Linked DNA regions of Notamacropus eugenii. The protein of the gene in region 1 interacts with the protein of each later gene in a biochemical or structural test. Links are inferred from orthologs where the notes say so. Each region holds a gene or a part of one and is shown in the gene's direction. Other genes may lie near its edges.

Region 1 (7,705 bases):
CATCCACCCTTCAAGTTATTCTGCCTACTGCCAGAAGTTCTTCTGAAGGACAGACCAAAGTTAAATCCAAGCTCTCTCCAGAAGACTTGAAGATGGTCATCCTAACCCTTTCCTAAGCCTTGTCTCCTGGAAGCTAAAACAGCCCCAGTTCCTGCACTGCAGACTGGTGTGGAGACCAGTTGGTGTGCCATCTTGACCATCTTCAAATGGAGAATCTCCAGTTCCTTCCTTCTCCACCCCACCCAAACATCTCTGGAAGCCCCCTCCCCCACTCAAAAGGTCACTCCCTACTTCAGGGCCTCATCCTGGACAATCACAACATTCTCCTAATGGACCCCTCTGCTTCTATCTAATCTGTTCTCTAGAGCTGCCAAAATCATCTTCCTAAGGCACAGAAAGGCCAGCTCCCCTAAGGCCTTAGTAAACTGCTTAGGATTTAAGGTCCCCTATGAACAAGCAGACTTTCCAGAGTGATTTCACATAACTTAAGCTGGCTGTCCCACCACCCCACAACACATATCCTTCCATTCCAACCTAAGTGACCCTCTGGCTATTCCTCAAACTCCATTGTCACCTGCTTGCTTCTGGGCATTTGAAGAAGCCTCAGATGGGGAGCGTTTCACTTTTGTCTCTCCATCGCCAGAGCATGGCCCATAATAGGCACATACATAACTGCTGAACTGAACTGAAAATCAAAGCCAGTTCCCCTCATTAAAACAACAATCCCTAGAAATGATGACCAAAGGGAGAACAGCTTCTGGGGCCAGAGTCAGACTCCTAGAATGGTGGTTGGATGACTTTCTAAACTGACCTGGAGGTTAGGAAACAACATTAAGAACCCTAGTGAGCAGGAGGAGTCCCTTTAAGGGATGTCCACATAAGAGAAAAGAAAATGGTCCCAGTGGTGTGGAAGGTGGCAGCTACCCCTCCAAATCACTAACTGCTGTCAGGAGGCTTAGGCATACTCTGATCCAAGCTCCTCACTTTACACAAAGGAAACCTCTGGACTGTGTTAAAGAAATGACTGACCCAAGGTCCCCAGCACATAGGAATGGGTGCCAAGGCCAGCCTGGGGATGGGCAGTGACTGGTCTGAGATATCAAGCCCTCTCTAGGGAGCACGGGTAAGCTAGATTCCCGGTGATTTCTAGGGAGCTGAGTAGGGCCAAGGCAACCCCGAACCTCCTGGGGAGCACAGCCAGGCCTGCTCCAGAGCACCCTGGGGAGCACAGCCAGGCCCAGACCCCCTGGGGAGCACAGCCAGGCCTGCTCCAGAGCACCCTGGGGAGCACAGCCAGACCTGGCCTCTCAGACCCCCTGGGGAACACCAGGCCGGCCAGGGTCTCACCTCCGGTGTAGAGGAAGGAGCTGGACAGGCCCCCAAAGAAGATGAGCGCCAGGTGCTCGAGCTTGAGCGCCGACAGGCAGTAGAGGCAGGCGGCGCACACGCAGCCCAGCGTGTAGAGGAAGACGCCGAAGCGCACCACGTCCTGCGGCTCCAGGATGCGGTCCACCAGCGTGCGGTCGTCGCTCTTCTTGTGATCGATGCCCTTGGAGAAGTCGTAGTAGGTGTTGACCAGGTTGCCGGCCCCGTGCACGGCCAGCACGGCCACGGCGCTGCCCAGCAGCAGGCCCGGCTGCAGCGCGCCCTGGGAGCGGTAGGCCAGCGCGCTGCCCAGCGCCACGGGGGTCAGCGAGGCGCTGAAGCTCCAGGGCCGCAGCGCCAGCACGTACGAGGCGCACTTGTGGCGCCACGACCGCCGCGGCCCCGGCCCCGGCGCGGCCCCGCACGGGCAGCCATTCCCGGCCTTCTCCCCGGCACCTGCCGGGGGACCCTCGCCCGCCTGGATGTTGATCTCGCCCGGGCTCTGGGCCGCAGCCATGGAGAAGGCGAGGGTGGGCTGCGGGGCGGGGCTAATGGAGCACGTGGAGGGGCCGGGAAGAGCACGAGGAGTGGGCGGGGCTAACCTAGCGGCTGGAGGAGAGCTACAGGGGCAACGGGGGCGGGGCCAGCGGGGAGAGGGATATAGAGGGGGCGGGGCCAGAGGGGAGAGGGTATGGAGGGGGCGGGGCCAACGGGGAGAGGGATACAGAGGGGGCGGGGCCAGCAGGGAGAGGGGTACAGAGGGGCGGGGCCAGCGGGGAAAGGGGTACAGAGGGGGAGGGGCCGGCGGGGAGAGGCGTACAGAGGGGGAGGGGCCAGCGGGGAGAGGTTACCGAGGGGCGGGGCCAGCGGGGAGAGGGGTACCGAGGGGGCGGGGCCAGCAGGGAGAGGGGTACAGAGGGGCGGGTCCCGCTGCCTAGCAGAGCCGGGGGCAGGGAGGGGAGCGGACCTAGAGAAGGGAACGCGAAACCCACTGCTCCCACGAAGCGAGGCGGGGGCTTTTGGAGGGGCTCCCCGCTAGGTAGAGAAGGCTGGAACGTCGCCAAGCGGAAGAAGGGAGCGCCCGGGAAAGGAGGATACGGGAGGCGGGCAGCCGTCCCGCTGGAGGCCTGACCTCCTCTGCCCCACGGATGTCCGGTCTTCCTGTCACTCAGGCTCTGAGTCAGTGGCAGTGCTGGCGCCGGCCCGGATCTTTCAGCCAGTCCTAGGGGGCCGCCATGTTGTGCTCTGGCCTTTGTCGGCCGTGCGGAAACGGGCCCCCTGAGCACTTAGGGCCGGGGAAAGAAGAGCTCGCCTTGTCCCTCTACGCTGGGGGAGCTCTCCATCCCTGCTCCCTAGGACCGTTCATTCAGTTCCAGTGAAGGAACTTGTGTTAAGCTACTGTATGCGAAGCACTGGGAATACAAAAAGGAAAGGCCGCGATACAGTTTAACCTGTGTGACCTTGGTAACCACTGCACGTGTCACAGTGTTTACCGATGCTTCATTCATTCTTGTCAGTTTTTAATATTTGTACCTCCAGGGCCCAGCACAGGTGCTAAAGAAACGTTGCTGTTGTTTTTAAATGAAGACAGTCTCTTTGAGAGGGGAAATCACTTGCCCAGGATCACAGGGATGAAAGTTGAATTTCAGGTCTTTAACTGACCTTTAACTCCAAATCCATTCCTCTTTCCATTGCCTCCCTGAACCCCCAGAAAAAAAGATGGGCTGTCAAAAGAAAGAGTAGAGACCCTGTGGTCCTGTCTGCAGCTGAGTCACAGCCTTTCTGGGTGACCAAAGATGAGATACAATTCTTATCCTGCTTCACATGAATAGATTCCATTCGTCACTGGTTCTTGGTTCCTTTTTCCCCCTTTATTTTTTATGTATGCTTTCATTCAAAATAAGAGGCTTGATGGAATATCTCGAAACTCCTCCCACCTTCATATTCTGTGAAACAATGTGATCAAAAAATCTCTTAATTACTCTGTGCCAGGCACTATGCTAAATTTGTCTATTACAAATGGAAGAGGAGCTGGGGCAGAGAAATCAACAAGAAAACAAGCTTCATTGTATCCAGAAAGTGGTTGATCCCAGATGACCTTGGGAGTAGGAGAGAGGCAAGAGTCTCGATGAGGGGGCATGATTGCATTGGTGGGCTATGATCTGCACTGTTATGGGAAATATCCACATTAATAAGTTCACAGAAGCCAAAGGAAGACCGTGTGATACGCAGATTGTGTAAGGACGGGGATCCAAAGTAAGGGTAAGATCATCAACTTTAATTGGGCTTGATCAGGGAGGATGGGAGAACAGAGCTGTGCCTTTTGAAAAATCAGTACTACTTGGAAACAGTGTAATAACTCATTTATATACTGATTTCACAACCCTGGTGCAAGTCTTTTTATACCCATTCCGCAGATGCAGAGGCTAAGAGGCTAAGTAATGTGTTCCCCGAGTCCTACAAGTGCCAAGTGTCACAATCCAGATTCAAACCCAAGTCCAGCTCACACACACACCCATACCCCCACACAGTTTCCACTACTCCACGCTGCCACTCTAGGCAGAGAGCCAAGAGGGAGCATGAATGGGGAGTGCGTAGGGCAAGCAGCCAGACTCGGGGCAGGGTTTGTCCTGGAAACCAGCACACTTGAGCCCTCGCGCTGGAGTGCGTGACCTCGGGGACCTCGAGGATCTCTGCTGGGGTTTGGTAGGAAGGAAAAGGCCTGGGGCCCCGGGGATCATTTCCCAGGTAAAACTCCTGAATGCGACACGAAGGACGCCTGGGGAGGGGACGGGTCGAGAATGTGTAGCTTCGGCTCAAGTTCACGTGCGGATCCATGCAAAGGTCCATGCTGGGCACTATCACGAGTGGAGGGCGGGGCTCTGACCCAACTCTCCAGCTCTCTCGGCTGAGCCGATACGAGCGAGAACTGCCCGGCGATCGAGGGGGCTCATTTCAACGGAGCACGCACTGGAAGCCGGGTCGGAAGTGGCAAAGACGGCAAACTTGCTGCTGATTGGCCTGTGCCGGTGTTTCTCGGCCCGGTGCTCGCCTGTGACTGGATGTGCGGCTTGTCCATTTGAACGGCCCCCGCCTCCTTGGGGGGCCGAGTTCCAGAGCATCCCTCCTTCCCCTCTGCCATTGGTCGGTCTGCCCGCCCATCTCCTGCTCCGATGTGCCGGTTGGTCCTAGCGGCTCGGTGCCCCGCCCTTCCCCACCCGGCTCGGAGGGCAGCCGGGAGGGAAGGCGGGCGGTGCTGGGGGTGGGGGGTTCCGGAGCGGCGTCGGCGGCGCCTTGGGCAGCTGCACCGGCTGAAGGGAAGGCCGCAAGTAACGCAAGTCACGGTGAGTCTGGAGCCCGCCGCTCGCTTCCCTGGGCCGGGCAGGGGCTGGAACCCGGCCCCCCGCGTTGGAGGGAGGCCGCGGCTCCCCCGGGCGCCCTGGGCCCTGCAGACGTCCCCGGGGCTCGGAGCCGCCCCCAGACCCCGGCTCGGCCCGGCCTCCAGCCTCCGCCTGCGGCGCCTTCCCGGCCCCGGGGCCTCCTGGAAACCCCATCCCACTCTGTGCCCCCGGCCTAGCCAGAGCCTCCCCAGAAGCCCCCTGCCTCGGCGGGGTGCCCCCCGACGGTCACATGCCAGCCACAGCGCCCCTGGGTCCTTAGGGGCCCCCCAGAGTGCCCACCACCACCCTCACGCCCCCAGAAGCAGAGCCCCCTGTTACGCCACCAGAAGCTCCCCTACCTCTCCAGAGTGCCCGGGTGGGAAGCTTCTCCAATTCATCTGAGCTTCCTGGAGGTGCCCCCAGACTCCTCCCCAGAGTTCCCCCCAAAGGCTCCCCGCTTGCCCTGAGCTCAGCAGCCATCCCGTCTCATTCCTGCAGAGACCCGCCTCAACCCCACATGCCGTCAGCAAGACACCCCAGAAGCTCCCTGAAAGTCAGCACAAGACCCCCAGAAATCCCCCCAACACCACCAGTGTCATCCTGCACCCCCTCTAAACCCACTTCACTTCTATGCTGCCTGATTCAGAAGCGCTTGAAATGCCCCCGGATGTCATCACTCACAACTTTTCCTCCACCTTCTTAGACTCCTCAAAGGCTACCTTAATAGTCAGTAGTTACATAAACATTTATTAAGTACCTACTGTGTGCCAAGTGCTATGCCAGGCCCTGAGTATACAAATAGAACAAGAAAGAGGGTCCCTGCCTCCAGGAGTTTATAATCTTATGAGGGAAGACCACACGCAAAGGGAAGCTGAAAATGGGTGGAGGGATGCCCGGTGGGGGGACATGGTGGAGAAGCCCTGAGAAGTGCAGCCAAGTGAGCCATCAGGAGCCCCCTCCTTAAATGAAGATCTTGGCCCCATACTCAGTCCTAGAGGTGCCCCAGGCAAGGTGGAGAGGTCATTTGATTTGGGAGAAGTTCCAGGATAATGCAGCCAGGTGATTAATGAAGAGACTCAAGTCAATCACCTGCTCCTAGAAGATTTCTAGAGACCTTTCTAGACCTGTCACACATAACTTGTACCCGCAACACATATCTTGTACCCGCAGCCCCCCATTTCTGTAGACCACCCTAGGTATTCTTATCCAGCCCCAGCCTTTCCTGACTGTCCAATGACAAATTTGAACTGGATAAGCTCAAGAGGTTCCTTCTACTGCCAGTAAGGCCCAGACCCCTTTCCTGAGGAAGGTTCAGCTGGAGGAGACTTCAAATATTTGAAGGGCTGTGGTCTTGGGCTTCGCCCCTAAGGCAAAACCAGAAGTGGGTGGAAGGTACAGAGGATGACTCTCCACTAAATGTATGGGAAAACTTGCTCCTGAGCCCAGGTCCTAAGAAGGACTTCTATCCCTGGAGGATTTCAGGGGAGGCTGGATGTCTTATTTTCAGGAGCTGAAGTCTCAGCTCAGGCCCTGAGAGTCTATAAACATCATAGGTTATACTTCAGTAACACTTTGTAGAAATGTTTCTAGATTACCCATCTACTATAGAATGCTCAAAAAACAGATCTAAAGTAGGTTCCACCTTCTCAAGGAACCACATCAATTGATCACTTATACTGGAGAGCTGAGGATATTTTGCCTAGAGAAAAACAGACTTACTGTTTGTCACAGAGCAGAAAGATTAAACATGTTTTGTGTGACTTCAGAGTGGAGAGGCTGGGGCAGTGTGTCAATTATTAGCAGGTGAGTTATAGGCTCAGTCATGGTAAGAACTGATCAGAAAGCCGGCTGACCAGGAATTGGGTACTTCCTCAGGATATATCACTGTGAGATAGGTAGTACAAATAAGGATTATCCCCATTTCACAGATAAGAAAAAGTAATGTTCTAGGAGGTAAGTGACCACTTAAAGCCACCCAGCTGTTTTAACAATCAAAGACCTGAAATTTGGATTCTTCTCATTTCAAGTTGTGTTCTTCACCACACACTGTAAAGTAGTGAGTTCTCTGTCACCTGGGAGTATGTAAGCAGAGACTAGGTAACTAAATGTCAAGGATGTTGTACATGGAATTTGTGTTTCTCAGAATTCAGATTGGAAGGTATTATCAAGTCCAACACCCATGCTTGACCAGGAATCCCCTCCATAGCATATGCGATCCAAGAAGCATTTTGAGACAAACGGTCACCTAGCTTGGACTTGAAGACTAGTTATGTTAATTCTCCCTCCCTCCCCCTCCCCCAATTCTTCATGGCCTAGCTCCTCCCTGCCTTTTCAGACTTTATTTCATGTTACTCATATGCAGCCAGACTGGCTTCCTACCTTGTCTCTAGACTCATTCTGTTTCCTTTCACATGCTGTACTAGTATTTAGAATCCACCTCCTCCATACCTGCTCTAGGACTCCTTAGCTTAGTGTCCCTTTCCTCCCCAAATACCTGGTACATATTTACCCCCACCAGAATGTAAACGCCTCAAAAGCAGGAATTGTTTCATTTTTGCCTTCATCTCCCAAATGAACAGCACAGTGCCTTAGGTCGGGTGGGTACTTAACAAGTGTCTTGTTTAAATTGAATTAATAGCCTCTAATGAGAGGGAACCTACTCCCAAGACAGCAACTTAAGTCAGGCCTGCTGCACAGCCTGCAGTCCATGGGCACAGGCCTAGCTTAAGTAAAGGCTGGATGACCTCTGAGGCCCTTTCAGCTCAGAGTCTGCTTTGGTAATATTTATATAGCTTTACAGATAGAATTCTGTCTTCACCCTTCACAGACACCCTTTTCAAGTTCCACCTCTGTCTACTCTAGCTACTTCCCAAGGTCCTGAGCAAGCTCACCTGCCTCCCCACTGATCCCTTCTCTGGGCCATGGTGTAGCACACAGTGCCAACCCCCGAAAATAGCCTA
Region 2 (7,259 bases), on another chromosome or scaffold:
TTCTTGCATCTCTCTCATTTCTCTTCCCAATTTTTCCTCCACCTCTCTTAATTGATTTTCAAAATTCTTTTTGAGTTCTTCCATGGCCTGAGCCCATTGAATATTTATTTTAGATGTTTGGGATACAGAAGCTTTGACTTTTATGTCTTTCCCTGATAGTAAGCACTGTTCTTCCTCATCTGAAAGGATGAGAGGAGATATCTGTTCACCAAAAAAGTAACCTTCTATAGTCTTATTTTTTCCCCTTTTTTAGGCATTTTCCCAACCAGTCACTTGACTTTTGGGTCCTTTGTCAAGGGTATACTCTGAGGATCTGTAAGATCTCAGTTCCTCCAAGGTGGCACAATCAAGCGGGCACACTGGTTTGGGAGTAGGGATAGATTTTTGTGCCCAGAAACTTAGCAGGGTTTCCTCTTCACAACCATCTGGCCTCCAGTTCTGCCAAGCCAGCACTGGGGGCTGAGATTCAGATAAGCTGCGGGGGCAGGGCTGCCATTCAGTGTGAGATAAAGATCAGCTGCCCCAGGGCCTCTACACAGGGCTGCAGTAAGAATCAGCTGCTCAGTGCCCCCAGGGGTTTTACCATCCAACGATGGATTTGGGCTACCGTAGGGGCTACTGTGGAAAGTGCAGTCACCTGCCTGGATGCGGCCTCTGAGGCTGCATCCTGAGGCCAGAGCTATGGAAAGGCCCTTCTCCCTTCTTGGACAGCTGAAAAAAGCCCATCACTAACCTTTGGCACCTGTGGGTTGAGGGATCTGCCAACCGCTGCTACTGCAAGTGGAGATTTTGCCCCTGAAGGTTGGGCTGGGCTCCACTCCACATCCTGTTCAACTGACATTTCCCTGGTCACCCTGGGCTGGAAATCTCCTCCATTCTGTTCTTCTGTGACTTCCGCTGCTCTAGAATTTGTTGAGAGTCTTTCTTTACAGGTATTTTATAGGCTGTGGGGGGAGAGCTAGCATATGTGTGTCTTTCTACTCTGCCATCTTGGCCCCGCCCCTCTCCAGTTTATCTTTCTCAGAATCATTATCATCTTCATTAGCAGTAATAACACTATACCCCAGGGAAAAATAATGATAAATCAAAAATAGATAACAGGAGTTAGCAGAGGTTAAGGGGTTTGAATTTTCTTTATTATGCAATAGGTAGTTGCTTGTAATTTCTGAATTCAGGACAGGACCATATATCTAAATATAAGGATGATCCTGCAGAATGCTCTCACCAGAATGGAACAGAACACACTCATTTTGCAGATGGAGAAACTGAGGCCAAGAAAGAGATGGTGACTTGCTCAAGGTCACAAAACCAACTAGTGGCAAGTTAGGGACTTAGATCTAGGTTTTTGGACTCTTGGGCTTCAGTGAGAAGAAAGACTACCTTAGAATCAGAATTGGAGTAAAGGAGGGGAGAATGCGGGAAGATGATAAGGGGTTTTGCAATGTAGAGAAGGAGAGGGAAAGAACTCACTGCAAATTTCTATTTTCTTAGTCAATCAGTCAATCAAGAAGAATTAGCACCTCTGGTGTGAGGGCTTGCTGAGCCCTTTTCAGGGCTGCTCATCCACCTTTGGTGTCCACCTGGCATTCAACTCTCACCTGTAGCTCCAAGAAGGTATAGAATGCACAATGACTACATCCTGGTAAAACCATCTGGCAGAGGGTGACCAACAGGCCTCAAACCCCTCAGTAAATTTGTACCCTAGGCATATGAAGACTTCTGTGGGGCAGAATAAGTGAATGATAACAATTTATTCCAATATCCGTGAAGGCAGCTGAAGTAATTGCTGTGGAATACTTGGAGCTTGGTTGGACGTCAAAGATGCCAAGGTCATCCACTTCCTCCTGGGCCATCCCAGTCTTCTTGGCTTTTGTCTTGCAACTGGATTTCTATGATTTTGGAAGAGAGAGTGAGGCTGATGACTTTGTGCAACTCTGCCTCACTTAAACCTGATTCACACAAAAGGGAGGACACAAAAAAAAGACAAACAACAACAAACATTTACTGAGCACTGGGGTTACAAAAAGAGGCAAAAGAAAGTCCCTGCCCTCAAGAGAGAACATACAAAAAAATGTATGTAAACCAATCTATATACAGGACAAATTTTAAAAAATTAACAGAGGGAAGGCATTAGAATTAAGAGGGGTGGGAAAGACTTCTAGTAGAAGTTGAGATTTTAGCTGAGCCTTAAAGGAAGTTGGTAGTCAGAGAGGAGAGAGAATGTTCCAGGCATAAGGGACAGCCAGAAAAAATGTTTGGCATCAACAGATGGAGTGTTTTGTTTGTAGAACAGACAGGAGGCCAGTTTCACTGGGCTGAACAGTATATTTCCGGGAGTACGAAGACTGGAAAGGTAGGCAAAGACGAGGTTATGAGGAATTTGAACACCAAATAGAGCACTTTGTGTTTGATTCTGGAGGCAACAGAGAGCCCTGGAGATTGTTAAATAGAAAGGGGAGACAAGGTCAGAACTGTGCTTTAGGAAATCACTTTAGTGGTGGAGTGGACGATAGATTGGGGTAGGCAGGCCTACCCACCAGCAGGCTATTGAAATAATCCAGGCTTGAAGTGATGGGGGCAGCTAAGTGGTGTTGTGGATAGAGGGTCAGTCCTGGAGTTAGGAAGATTCATCTTCATGAGTTCAAATCTGGGCTCAGACACTTAGTAGCCATGTGAGCCTGGGCAAGTCACTTAACCCTGCTTGCCTCAGTTTCTTCATCTGTAAAATGAACTGGAGAAGGAAATGGCAAACCACTCTAGTACCTTTCCCAAGAACACTCCAAATGTGGTCATGAAGAGTCAGACAAAACTGAACAGTGGAGGTGACAAGGGCTTGTACCACGGTGGTGGCTGTATCAGAGGAGACAGATGTTGCAAAGGTGAAATTGACAGAATATGGGGCTTGAGAGAAAGTGAGGAATCCAGGATGACTGCAAGGTTGTGAGCCTGAGGGACTGGGAGGATGGTGTTGCCCTCCACAGCAGTACTGAGGAAGGGGGAAGGAGGAGTGGAGTGGTTAGGAAGAAAGATAATGAGTTCCATTTTGAACATGCTGAGTTTAAGATGTCTACTGGACAGCCAGTTCAATACGTCTGAAAGGCCGGTGGAGAAGTGAGATTGGAGATCAGAAGAGAGACTGTCAGAAAAGGTAGATTTGAGAATAATCAGCACAGAGATGGTAATCAAATCCACCAAATCTTTAGTAAAGTCTGCGGCAAGGTTATTTGCAGACAGACGGAAGAGAGACGTGTGTGGGACACTTCAGAGGAAAGTTTTGGAACAGCTGCTGCGAGGAGCGTGATGGAGAATCCATTGGGGAAGAGCGCAAAGATGGATTAACTTGCAGCTGCAGAGGCTCGAGTGGAGATCAGCTAACAAATCTGCAGAGGACGTCAGTTTGGGTGACACAGTACAATCACAGGGCAATACGTTTAGAAGGAGAAGGCACCTTAGAGGCCATGTGGTCCAAGCCCGTCATTTTTACAGGCGAGGAACTTCCTCCAGCTCAGTTCAGCAGCGGAGAAATAGGAACGATCAATGATGGGGATGATTCAGGGTTGGGGTTTGGGGGCAGGAGATGAGAGGTCTGAATGACCTCCACATGGAGGTGGAGGTCACAGGGTGGCACTGGGAGGGATGAGGTTGCAGGACACGAGCTCCCAGCTCCAGGGGGCCGACTTCAAGAGAGCTTTCTGAAAGTCAGCGTACGAGAGAAGCTGGAGAGTCTAACATCAGCGGCAGCCAATGGGAGTTCTGTCCCCACCCCCTCCCCCGCGCGTATTCTTTGTCTCCGAGGTCCCAACCCGCAGGCGCGATCCACTTCACCCCTCCCCGTCCCCGCCTCTTTCCAGTCCCTCCCAATCCCCTGAGAGGAGTCTGTACTTAAAGCACACAGAGAAGGAGGGGGAGGGAGGCGGAACAGGGGACACAAGAATGGCAAGCGGCTTCACCAATGAGAAATAAGGCGGGGTCTGAAGACGCTAGAGGGGAACTACACCAATATGGGAGCTCCCCTACACACTAGACCAATCATTGGGGCGGGCGAATAGGCTGTAAAAAATGACGAGCGGAAATGGTAGCCAATAGCTATGAAGGACGTGATGAGCGGAGGACACCTAGACCAATGGGAACAGGTTGGTTAGCCCAGGGCGGGGAAGAAGAGCCCAATCATCAAGGCGGAATCCGTAGTGGGGGCGGGGCCGGGCCTAGCGGGCGCTTGTTGTTCTCGGGGTGAGGGAGGCGGAGGCGGCTTCCTCTGTGTGTCTGTCTCTACTTGTGTTGCCGTAGTCGGGCCCTGAAGGCAGCCGGAGCCAGGTCGGCGGTGGGGCCATGTCGCGGAGGTCGCCCGCGCAGGCGGGCGGGACCCAGAGGAGAAGGCTGTCGCTGCGAAGTTTTCCTCGGATACAGCGCGGCCCGCACGGAGGCCGCAGCGTCGTAGCCCCCAGGGACTGAGGAGCCTCTCGGACCCCTGGATTTCCTGGTGCCCCGCAGACGGACGCCCCCAGCCAGGTTGGTGTCGCCGACGCCTTGGTGTCTGTCTCTTAGACTACAGCTCCCAGCAGTCCCCGCACCCTCCCTTTTCGCCTTCCAGCGCCGCACTGCCTCCTGGGAGTTGTAGTTCCTGGGGGGCGGGGTTTGACCTGGGTTCTGGGAGGGGTGAGCTGGGAGCGGACTCTGGGGAGGCTCAGATTCCATTAGGTGCTAGTGTATGGAGCCGCCCCTTCCTTCTGTGGAGATCTCTAAGTGCTTTAAGCAACCTGGCATACCAATCCAGGTAAAGGAGACTCGGCCTTGTTCATTGGGGGTGGAGGGAGGGAGGGAATGGAGGCGTCTTGGATTGGTTGGTGACCGACTCCCTCGGGTTTGGCTTTGGATTTCCCTTCCTCTCTCCTCCCCGGGGGCCCTTCTGCTGAGCCTCCAGAGGTTCCTGGACAGCTTCCTACACTGCCCGCTCCCCCGTCCTCTCCAGGCTGAGCAGCCCCTGGGGCGATAGATAAGACCTATCCACACACACATTCACACACATACATATGTACGCTAACATTTATACACACACACACACATATACACACACAAATATACATGTATACTGACTTTTACATATATATGTATATGTATACATATATACATACATGTATTTTATATACACACACACACACACACATATATTTACACTAAGGGGAGGGAAGAGTGACTGTCAGAGGGGTTTGTAAGTGCTTGGAAATCATGGTGAAACCTCAGGTCATTGCTTGGGAGAGAAGGAGACACCCTAAACTGGACCTGAGCCCTACATCTCCTCTTTCCTCTTGGGTAAGGGGATCTCTTTCCCTCCCTGATACCAGAGCCCTCCAGCAGGGGAGGGACTGGAGTTCTGGTGTCTTAGGGTTTAGATGTGGGAAAGGAGGTATGTTTGCCTCAGGTTGGCACTTGGTCCCCCTGCCTGCTGTTCTCTCCACTAGCTCTGGGCCAGGGCCAGGTCTCTGCTTGTTTACAGTTTCTCCACTTACAAGGCAGGCAGCTTGTGTGTATGGGGAAGGGAAAGTGAAAGACTGGGGAGATACCCAGGCCTGGCTGGGATTGGAGATAAGACACACAAGATCCGTTTTTTTTCTGGGACCTGAGGCCTTGCCATGGTAGGAGGAGGTGGTTGTGAAATTTTAACAATGACCTTCCCTACCCCTCTCTCAAACTAAACAACTCAGAGCCACAGTGACATTCCCCGTGTTCCCAACAGGCACTTCTTTGCTGCCCTAAACCAAGGCTCTTGACTTCCCTGTCCCTGGCCCCTGCAGAAGATGAAGCTCTTAGAAAACTCCAGTTTTGAAGCGATCAACTCCCAGCTAACAGTGGAGACTGGTGATGCTCACATCATTGGCAGGTGAGGCCCTCAGCCCCTCAAGGTCTCTCTGCCCTAAGGAGAGGCACTTAATTTGAGAAGGGCCCTGAGGTTTCTTCCCCTGTGAAGGTAAGGGGAAGGCAGTGTGGTTAGTGACTCCACCCTCCCATTTCCTTCCTCTCTTTTACCCCCCTTCCCCACCATTTCACTCACTGCAGCCTTTACATCTTGTTTCTAAGGCCAGGTGTTCTTGACTTCCCAAAATATGTGGAAGGATTGGAGGTTCTGTAAGAATTGACCCTAGAATGCAGTTAGGCTGGACACATAGTGGAGGGGAGTGGTGTCAAAGCAAATAGAAGCAGGGGCTATTAATCTGTTTGTAAGGCTCTGTAGGAGCCACTTGTTGACTTAGTTTTAAAATGTAATATTGTCTCTCCTTTAGTTTATTTTTATTTTGTTAAATATTTCCCAGTTACACTTTAATCTGGTTTGGATTGCATTTGGAAGTGTTTCAGGCTGCTGCCATGTGTTTGACACCTCTGGTGTAGTAGAGTGTCAGTCCTAGAATCAGGAGGGTTCAAATCTAGTTTTTGATAATGGGTAATACTACTCTAGGTCTCAGTGTCCTCCTCCATAAAATGAGGGCATTGTATTAGGTGGCCTTTAACATCTCTTCCAGCTCGATCTATGATCCTATGATCCCTCATAACCCTAATCCTTGTCCTCTTCTTCCTCTCTGTTTTAGGTACTGCCTCCCAACAAATATATCTGCCATCCATCCCCTGTGTATGTGTCCATCCAGTTTCCTATCTTTTACTTGTATCTAACCCCCATGTTTGTATCCAGGCTTATAACCTTTTCTCCATTACTGTTTGTCCCCATTTTCTGTTCCCTGGAGTGTGTTCAGGTCCATTTCAGATTCCTCACCTGCATCAACTCACAGAATGTTAAGTATTAGAAAGGTACCTTGGAGACCATTAAGTTCCCCTCCTCACCCTCTCTTTTCTTCCTCTCTCCTTCCTTCCCCTCCTCTCCCCTCCTTTCCCCTTTCCTTCCTTTCTCTCCCTTCACCTCCCCACATTTTATAACTGGAACAGCTGAGACCCACAAAGCAGAAATTCAATTCATCGCATATTTATTAAGACCTTGCTTTTCTGCAGAACTCTATGCTAGGTCTGGGGGAAGACGTAAAGTAGGTAATTTAATTACCCAACATTTGTCAAGCCCTACTGTGTGCTCTGCTATAGCTTGGAATTCAAAGACAAGATCAAAATATCCTTTCCATCAGGGTCTCTATTCTACAGGGAGAATACAACATGTGCCTAAACTAGTAAATATAAGGTAATTTTGAATAGGACTAGAGCATGAAGGACTTGGGAAATAAAGACATAACTTCAAAGACACTTGAGTTTAAAGGAGGATA

What was found. The genes of interacting proteins can lie anywhere in the genome.
Region 2: of the proteins of MTOR (region 1) and MAF1, one has a biochemical effect on the other in vitro, tested with the Homo sapiens proteins (2 studies listed by BioGRID and IntAct). The link is inferred for Notamacropus eugenii from reciprocal best matches to the Homo sapiens genes MTOR and MAF1.

What each region holds. Positions count from the first base shown.
Region 1 is NC_092876.1:50,533,678-50,541,382, reverse strand, and holds the start of MTOR (serine/threonine-protein kinase mTOR), read left to right. Parts: upstream 1-4,606; 5' UTR 4,607-4,709; intron 4,710-7,705. Other genes in the region: UBIAD1 (ubiA prenyltransferase domain-containing protein 1), read right to left, coding at 1,348-1,882. UniProt on the Homo sapiens protein: Serine/threonine protein kinase which is a central regulator of cellular metabolism, growth and survival in response to hormones, growth factors, nutrients, energy and stress signals.
Region 2 is NC_092875.1:86,027,646-86,034,904, forward strand, and holds the start of MAF1 (repressor of RNA polymerase III transcription MAF1 homolog), read left to right. Parts: upstream 1-4,189; 5' UTR 4,190-4,509; intron 4,510-5,734; 5' UTR 5,735-5,795; coding exon 5,796-5,878; intron 5,879-6,581; exon of another isoform or gene 6,582-6,622; intron 6,623-7,259. UniProt on the Homo sapiens protein: Plays a role in the repression of RNA polymerase III-mediated transcription in response to changing nutritional, environmental and cellular stress conditions to balance the production of highly abundant tRNAs, 5S rRNA, and other small non-coding RNAs with cell growth and maintenance.